Macaca fascicularis: one gene and its partner. The protein of the gene in region 1 purifies or fractionates together with the protein of each later gene. This does not show direct contact. Links are inferred from orthologs where the notes say so. Each region holds a gene or a part of one and is shown in the gene's direction. Other genes may lie near its edges.

Region 1 (4,772 bases):
GCTCATGGACTGGAAGAATCAACATCGTTAAAATGGCCAAAGCAATTTCTAGATTCAATGCTATTCCTATCAAACTACCAATGTCATTCTTCACAGAATTAGAAAAACTATTCTAAAATTCATATGGAACCAAAAAAAGAGCCCAAATAGTTGAAGCAATTCTAAGCAAAAACAACAAAGCCAGAGACATCACACTATCTGACTTTGAACCATACCATAAGACTATAGTAACCAAAACAGCATGGTACCAGTACACAAACAGACACATAGACAACTGGAAGAGAACAGAAAACTCAGAAATAAAGCCACACACTTACAACCATCTGATTTTTGACAAGGCCTACAAAAACAAGCAATGGGGAGAGGACTCCCTATTCAATAAATGGTGCTGGGATAACTGGCTAGCCATATGCAGAAGATTGACACTGGACCCTTACCTTTAACCATATACAAAAATTAACTCAAGATGGATCAAATATTTAAATGTAAAACCTCAAGCTATAAAAATCCTAGAAAAAAATAGGAAATATCCTTCTTGACATTGGCCTTGGCAAATAATTTTTGGCTAAGTCCCCAAAAGCAATTGCAACAAAAACAAAAATTGACAAGTGGAACCTAAGTAAACTACAGAGCTTCTGCACAGCAAAAGAAACTATCATTATAGTAAACAGACATCTTACGGAATGAGAGAAAATATTTGCAAACTATGTATCCAACAAAGGTTTAATATCCAGAATCTATAAGGAGCTTAAACCAATAAGCAAAAACCCCATTAAAAAATGGGCAAAGGACATGAACAGACACTTCCTAAAAGAAGACATACAAGTAGTCAACAAACATGAAAAAATGCTCAACATCAGTAATCATCAGAGAAATCCAAATCAAAACCACAATGAAATACCATCTCACACCAGTCAGAATGGCTATTAATAAAAGTCAAAAAAAAAAAATAGATGCTGGTTTGGTTTATGATATGGTTTGATTGTGTCCCCACCCAAATCTCATCTTGAACTGTAGAGCTCCCATAATTCCCACATGTCATGGGAGGGACCCGATAGGAGGTAATCGAATCATGGGGGTAGGTCTTTCCTGTGTTATTCTCATGATAGTGAATAAATCTCATGAGATCTGGTGGTTTTATAAAGGGGAGTTCCCCTGCACACATTCTCTTTGCCTGCCACCATGTAAGATGTGACTTTGGCTGGGCACGGTGGCTTACATCTGTAATCCCAGCACTTTGGGAGACTGAGACAGGTGGATCATAAGGTCAGGAGATCGAGACCACAGTGAAACCCCATCTCTACTAAAAATACAAAAAATTAGGCGGGTGTGGTGGCGGGCACCTGTAGTCCCAGCTACTCGGGAGGCTGAGGCAGGAGAATGACATGAGCCCAGGAGGCGGAGCTTGCAGTGAACTGAGATTGCACCACTGCATTCCAGCCTGGGTGACAGAGCGAGACTCCATCTCAAAAAAAAAAAAAAAGTGACTTTGTGCCTCCTTCACCTTTCGCCATGATTGTGAGTGCCATGGCCTCCCCAGCCATGTGGAACTGTGAGTCAATAAAACATCTTTCCTTTATAAATTACTAGTCTTGGGTATGTCTTTATCAGCAGTGTGAAAATGGACGAATACACTTTTTTGACTTTTTAATAATAGCCATTCTGTCAGAATGACAGCTGGAAGAGAATAGAAAACTCAGAATACACTAATCTACTTTTTTATATTTTTGTATAGCCATATACAGAAGATTGAAACTGGACCCTTACTATTCTGTCAGAATGGCTATTATTAAAAGTCAAAAAATAAAAAAAAATAGGTGCTAGGTCCCACGGTGAGGTTACAGAGAAAAGCAAACAGTTATACAGTTAGCGGGAAATGTAAATTTTCACTGTGGAAAGCAGTTTGGAGATTTCTCAAAGAACTTAAAACAGAGCTACCATTCAACCCAGCAACCCCATTACTGGGTATATAGCCAAAGGAAAATAGATGATTATGCCAAAGGAAAATAGATGATTATACCAAAAAGACATATGCACCTGTATGTTCATCACTATGCTATTCATAAAAGCAAAGACAAGGATCAACCTAGGTTCCCATCAATGATGGATTGGATAAAGAAAATGTGGTACGTATACACCATGAAATACTAACCAGCCATAAAAATGAATAAAATCATGTCTTTTGCAGCAACATGGGTGGAGCTGGAGGCCATAATCCTAGAAAACTAACACAGAAACAGAAAACCAAATATGACATGCTCTCACTTATAAGTGGGAACCAAACACTGAGCACACATGGACATAAATATGGGATTAATAGACACTGTGGACTACTAGAGGTGGAAGGAAGGGAATGGGTATGGGTTGAATAACTACCTATTAGTTAATATGCCCACTATCTGGGTGCGATATACCCATGTAACAAACCTGCACATGTACCCTCATATCTAAAATAAAAGTTGAAATTTTTAAGAAAAAGAAGGAAGAGATCCTGAGAAGGTTAGGTAATGATTATGGTTATTTATTCATTGACCCTCTAGAACATTTCCACAGACTCTACTACGTGTCAGACATGGTGCTGAGTACTGACATGCAAGGATGATTAAGGCATGGTCAGTTAGACAAACAGGTGAACAAGATTACAAAATAGTGTGAGAATTGCTAAGAATTTGGGAAAGGATGCTAAGGAAGCATCTTCTTTAAGAATCATTGTGACTATTTCACCTTTTTTGCTTAAACATTGATAGTTCTGAATAAGCTCACAAGAATGTGGCCATCATGTGTTACTATGAAATTATATATATTATTTCTATGTGTATCAATTTTGTCTCCTCCTAATCTTTCTGAGAGAATAAAGAAATATCTTCTGGTATAATGAAAAGAATACAAAGTCACTGGAGTCAGAAGACCTGGGTTTGAATCCTGACTCTGCTATTCTTTAGCTGTGCAACCCTGGGAAAATTAGTTAACCTTTCTGTGGCTCAGTTCCTTTATCTATAAATGGAAGTAATAATATCCATCCTGCCTGCCTCACAGATTGTAGTCAGCATCAATGAAATAATGTATAAGAAGAACTGACTATCCTATAAATCCCTGATATTAGTCCCTATTACCAGCCTTCTAAATTGCACAAGCCTACTAAGATGGACACACAGTAGGCAATCAGTAAATATCAGGCTTTAATTATACTTTATTAGCAAAGACTTGCAGTTTTTGGAGTCTATAGTTTCCTGTCCCCCTCAACCTAATGTCAGAGGAATTCAGAGGCTGGGGTCACAAAGTATAGTTATGACCTAGGAGTGACCAGCCAGTGTAGAACCCAGCGTGGACTGAGCCAGTTTCATATAGACTAGCTGCCTACTAACCAAGAGTGGCTGACATTTTGCTAGAGGTGAAGCTCTGGGACTGTGATTATTCGTTTAGAACCATCTCCTTATGCTTTCTTACTCTGTCATATCTCTGAGTTTTGGTATCAGAGAGCTCTAACAGACTGGCAGAGTTAGGTGAAAGGGTGCAGGACTTGGCAGGGAGATTGTCAGGAACATTTGTAAAACCTTTTCCTTCTGTGTTTACAGGGAATCTAGTTTCACAAAGCAGCTCAACCCCACTGATGGTGAATGGGGTTCTGGGAGAGTCGGTAATTCTTCCCCTGGAGCTTTCTGCTGGAGAGATGATCGCGTCCATCACTTGGCTTTGCAATGGAACATCTCTTGCCTTCATAGAACCCTCTGAAACCAAAAGTCCAAATATCCGCGTGACTCATCCTAAACAGCGAAAGCGACTGAACTTCACCCAGTCCTACTCCCTGAAACTCAGCAACCTGGAGATGGAAGACACAGGCTCTTACAGTGCCCAGATAACCACAGAGACCTCTGTAAAGCTGTCCAGTTACACTCTGAGGATATTCAGTGAGTCAAAATATGGGGTTTAATTCCATATGGACTGAAAAATATACATGTATTTCAATCCTATGTGATTTCAAATGTGCACTGTCACCTAGTGGTAAAGAATATGGCATTTGGAGTCATTGAGTCAGTGTCAACACAATGACATTGCAAAGCCAGTTAATGACAGAGCTGAGGACAGAGCCTGTCTTGTGTCCCAGCTCAGAATTACTTCACTCCAGTAAAATGGTCTTCTTCAACCGGAAATGTAGCAGAAGTAATGGAAATCAAATATTTATGATAGTGTTGCCTTGTGCATTACATGTATTTGCCATGTAATTCTCACAAAGCCTCCATGAGGTAGGTACAGATCTTATACCCTTGAGGCACAGCCTCAGTCACAGTGATTTGCGTACAAGTCACAGAGATAGTAATGGCAGCACTTCCCACATAACTACCTGCCACAACACCTCCCTTTTCACAAAGGCTAGTCTGACCCAGTAGAGTGATCTGTGTATAGAATAGTGGTCTACCTAGAAAGTTCTCTGCAAAGATAGGCTGATAATGAGAAGCATCCTTTCTGTCAAGTTTATTTAATTTTTAACAATATTTTCCCCCAATGGCTCATATTAATCACCAGTCAACAATCTGCCTTCCCAAGATTAAAAAGAATGAAAACGTTATCAACATAAAATTATGGAAACTATAATGAGGTTGCTTATGAGTCAATATCAGAAAAATACCTCTCTAGCAACCAGTGATATTCAGAGATGCCATTAATGGCTTTAGAATAATGACTTAGCAGGAGATTCAAGCATTAAATTGGCAATCAGACCAGAAAACATGAAAGACCACTGAAATTCTATAATTCTTATCCACTTGAGGGCC
Region 2 (4,095 bases), on another chromosome or scaffold:
ATCTGCCTTTGGTGCAGGTCAGCTCTGTACATCCAATCCATTGGTAAGCCACGTGAGGAATTAAGTGTCGTTCTCCCTATTGAGCTTCCAGGCTTGCCATATTCTCCAAGAACTACACACTGAAGTTGCAGAAAGCATATAATAGACGACATAGCTTCAGCTATTTAAGTTCCAATTTTAAAAGTACTTTACATAATCTAAAGGTACATGTATAAGACCATTCAGCTTCAGCAATAAATAAAGTCTTACTCTAGTGAAAATGCAGGAAGTTTTGGGGAAATATTACCTAGCACATTTTGAAATAGAAGCAATGCTTTATTTCAGAGAAGAAAATGCAGATTGAAAGGTTTTAAAATATTAAAGACAGTTTAGCATCAATTGAAGAAATAACATTTTCTAGAAACAACAGAGAATAAAAGTTACAATAATATTATCAACAACTTGCAAATGATTCAAAACAGATTTTATGGCCAAAATGCTGAAAGTTGGGCCCTATACACCAAAGGGCACATACAAATGCATATAAAGGCAAAGCACCAGTTAAATGATTCACAGTCTCATGTAAAGCCCATCAAATAGATAAATCTGGAAAATCTTTGGATGTACATTGTGACTTTTGTATCTCAACTAGCACTTTGGGACCTTGGACAAGGTGTTAGGAAAGAAATCAATATTTACTCAGGACCAAGACTTTCAAGATGACTGCGTGAGGTAGAAGGAAGAGGGAGAAGAAGAACTTGCCCAAAGTTCACTGTTCATCTACTATGTCCGATTCTGTGGGAGTCTTCATGGCCATGTTCAGTAATGATTTCATACTGACAGTACTGATAAAACCATCAGTGTTTTGTTCTCAGAGCTTTTGATCCTTTCATTTTGTTAGTATGTTTTTGCCCTACATGATGGGTCCACATACCGACAGAGACATGTACAACTTGCCTCTATCATCAACTCCTTACCGGCTAGTTGAGCTAAGTTATTCCTGGTGGCCTCTGAGTAAACTGCAAGAACAGAAGCATTACTAAGCATCCCTGTCTGAGTGCAAGGGTGTGTGTTGGCAGTACAGCCCCAATCTTGCAAAATCCTTCTTCCAATGTTCCTTCCCGCTCTGTATGAACCCTGTGTTGGGGGGCAGGAGATGGAAGCCCTTGGCAAGCTCGATTGAACTAAGCTACTAAATTGCTGAGCTCGTTTTAGTTGAAGTGTGAGAAGGAGGTTTAAGGCAAGTAGACAACATCCTGTTGTTTGGGTGCTTCTCTCTTTTTTGCACATCTGGCTGAACTGGGAGTCAGGTGGTTGACTTGTGCCTGGCTGCAGTAGCAGTGGCATCTCCCTTGTACACTTCTCCTCCTCGGCCTGCCCAAGAGTCCACCAGGCCATGGACGCAGTGGCTGTGTATCATGGCAAAATCAGCAGGGAAACAGGCGAGAAGCTCCTGCTTGCCACTGGGCTGGATGGCAGCTATTTGCTGAGGGACAGCGAGAGCGTGCCAGGAGTGTACTGCCTGTGTGTGCTGTGAGTATGATACAGTGGGCATGGGCCTGCTGAGGGTGTGGGCGGTGGGCAGCGGCAGCTGGGGCCAGGGTGGAGGCCGAGGCAGGCAGGGGCGCCGGCATTAGCAGCTCGCCGACGACGCCTCCATGGTCCGCCCTCAAGTCCAGCCCAGGGCCGTGGTGAAACACACTTTCGCCTGAGTCCCTCGCTGGGGATTTCATTCCCTGGGCCACCTGCTCTCCAGAAGGCCCTCACCAGAGCCTTTTGGGGCAGCCGCAGAGAATGCCCTTTCGGGTGCTGAAATGTGGTCTAGAGTTTACCTTCGCTCCAGGAAAGACCCAGGCTCCCCACTTCTATTTTGAACCCTATCGGGTGGTGCCCTGGGAGCCTTACTCTAGCTCTCTTTAAACGACTTTTGAAGTGTCATCCCAAAGGAAGGGCATGACATTCAGGGAGAGGAGACACATTAAGAAACAGAGTCAATTACTTTAAGAATGCAATGCCAGTAAAGTCGAGATGCTGAGAGAGGAGGGGGATGTGTATGAGTAAAATCACCTCTCTGGATCTGCTGATGTAGCATCCTTTAGAAAAGTAGTGGGGGGTGGGGAGGGGCAGGGGATTTCAGAAATAGGACCCTTCTTGATAAACGTTAGGACTCACAATAGTCTTAAAGGGAATGGAGGGAAAACACCCTTGTTATGATTCAGCTTTGCCATTTGCCTAGGCATGTCTCAGTCTAAGGCTTCATTTTGAATCAAATTCATCTGCGTCTTTGCTCCAGGGCTGCGGAGTCAGGCAGATCTGAGACTTTGTCCTGTGCTAGTCAGATGTTAGGCTTGTGACCTGGGCAAATTAACCTCTCAGTCCCCCAGTTTTCTTATCCATTGAATAGGTATCATATTACTGCCTACCTCATAGGATTGTAAGATTAAGTGCTATAATGCAGTAAAAAAATTAGCACTGGGGCCTGACACCTAGTAAATGTTCAATAAATGTAAGCTATTGGTATTGTCATTATACCAAAAATATATTGTTATTTTATCTTCTCTTTTCAGTTGATTTCTTTTAGGAATCATGGGGGCATTTCTAAGGAAGGACCTAGCTCAAGCATTATTGTCAGCAGGATAAAAAAAATCCATGAAAACAGCAGCCCTGCATAGTAGGTTCTAGACAGAAACCAAATGAGGTTAAATGCTTGGTAGTAAGTTCAGCATCTGATGATACCCCACAAGAGTTTGAAATACCTTATGGGTCAGTGAAGAAAGATTATCCTGATGCTGGTGCTAGAGGATTTTCACTGTATATTGGTTTTCAAAAATGGTCAAGCCTTGTTTGTGGCAGCTCTCAGGTCATGCTAAATACATTTTTCATAAAGGCTTCCAGGGAAATACGTGGAAGTTATTGAATGTCTTGGGCTTGAATCTTTATGTTTTGCTTATATAATTATGTTCCCGTGTGGAATCTAGGGAAGGGCAATGAAAATCAGCTAGGATTCTTAGGCTCTTTTCTCATTGAGAGAAGGTGGAGTGAGTGGGTGGGTGAAAGGCGCTGCTTTAGGGAAACTGACAAAGGAGATAATGTGCTCCTTAACCCAAAGGTGAAAAAGAACATACAAAACAAGTCTGGGCAGGGGAGGGACAACAGGGTATAGTGAGAGGCAAGATACACCTAAGACTTCAGCCTCACCAGGCTCCTGGCCGTTTCTCAAGCTCCTCAAAAATGCCCCCACTTAGGATTTCTGTGCTTATTGTTCCTTCTGCCAAAAATACCTTCAGTTCACATGTTTGTTCAACTGCCTCCTCCCTCAGAGAGGACTTGCTTGGCCACCTATCTAGAACAAGTGCCCTCTCTCTGTCCCTGATACACTCACTCCATCTCTTTATTTTTGTTCAAAGAGCTTTAAACTATTTGATAATTTGCCTGTTTACCTACTTATTGCTGGGCTGTCCTGCAAAAATATAATCTCCATGAGGGCGGAGACATTGTCTCCATCACCAGGAACACAGGAACACATAATAGGCACTCAGCAGATATTTTTGAATTAACAAACTGTTAAGGCAAATTCTATTCTTTACTGCAAGAAAAGGAATGAACATCGAGAGGTTAGGGTGTGGACCCTGGGAAAGTCACTCAAATTCTCTGGGCCTCAGTTTCCATATTTATAAAACAGGAATAGTAATGTGTATCCTACCTTCTGCAAAAGATTGCCTTAAGTACCATATACAAGAGAGAAGGACAACTTTAGCCTTTTTCCTATGTGGGCCAGAACCACATGAGGAATTAACTTAGGCAGGTGAGAAATTCTCAAGCATTTAAGTTTTTGCCCAAAGTGAATCTTGCATAAATGCTTTTTTTATGACTCTCAGTTCTCCATGAAAACTGCCTTGTGAAGTAGCGGAAAATACTAGACAAATTGGGAGTTCCCTTACGGTGTCTTTCAAATGGTACACTGGGGACTCAAAGTCTTATGAGACTGTTTGGGTGATAGCCAGAATGTACTGCAGAGGAAAGATATAAGGATACATTGCCTTTTATCAGTTTCTCAACGTTTTTGAGTTGAGTGTCCCTTTTGACAAATGTAAAAAATTCATTCCCTCTTTTTGG

What was found. Proteins that work in one complex are often made in the same cells at the same time.
Region 2: the proteins of SLAMF6 (region 1) and SH2D1A purify together in Homo sapiens (co-immunoprecipitation; 5 studies listed by BioGRID and IntAct, with this or other methods). This does not show direct contact. The link is inferred for Macaca fascicularis from reciprocal best matches to the Homo sapiens genes SLAMF6 and SH2D1A.

The regions. Positions count from the first base shown.
Region 1 is NC_088375.1:100,560,291-100,565,062, forward strand, and holds part of SLAMF6 (SLAM family member 6), read left to right. Parts: intron 1-3,575; coding exon 3,576-3,908; intron 3,909-4,772. UniProt on the Homo sapiens protein: Self-ligand receptor of the signaling lymphocytic activation molecule (SLAM) family.
Region 2 is NC_088395.1:130,579,588-130,583,682, forward strand, and holds the start of SH2D1A (SH2 domain-containing protein 1A), read left to right. Parts: upstream 1-1,295; 5' UTR 1,296-1,375; coding exon 1,376-1,512; intron 1,513-4,095.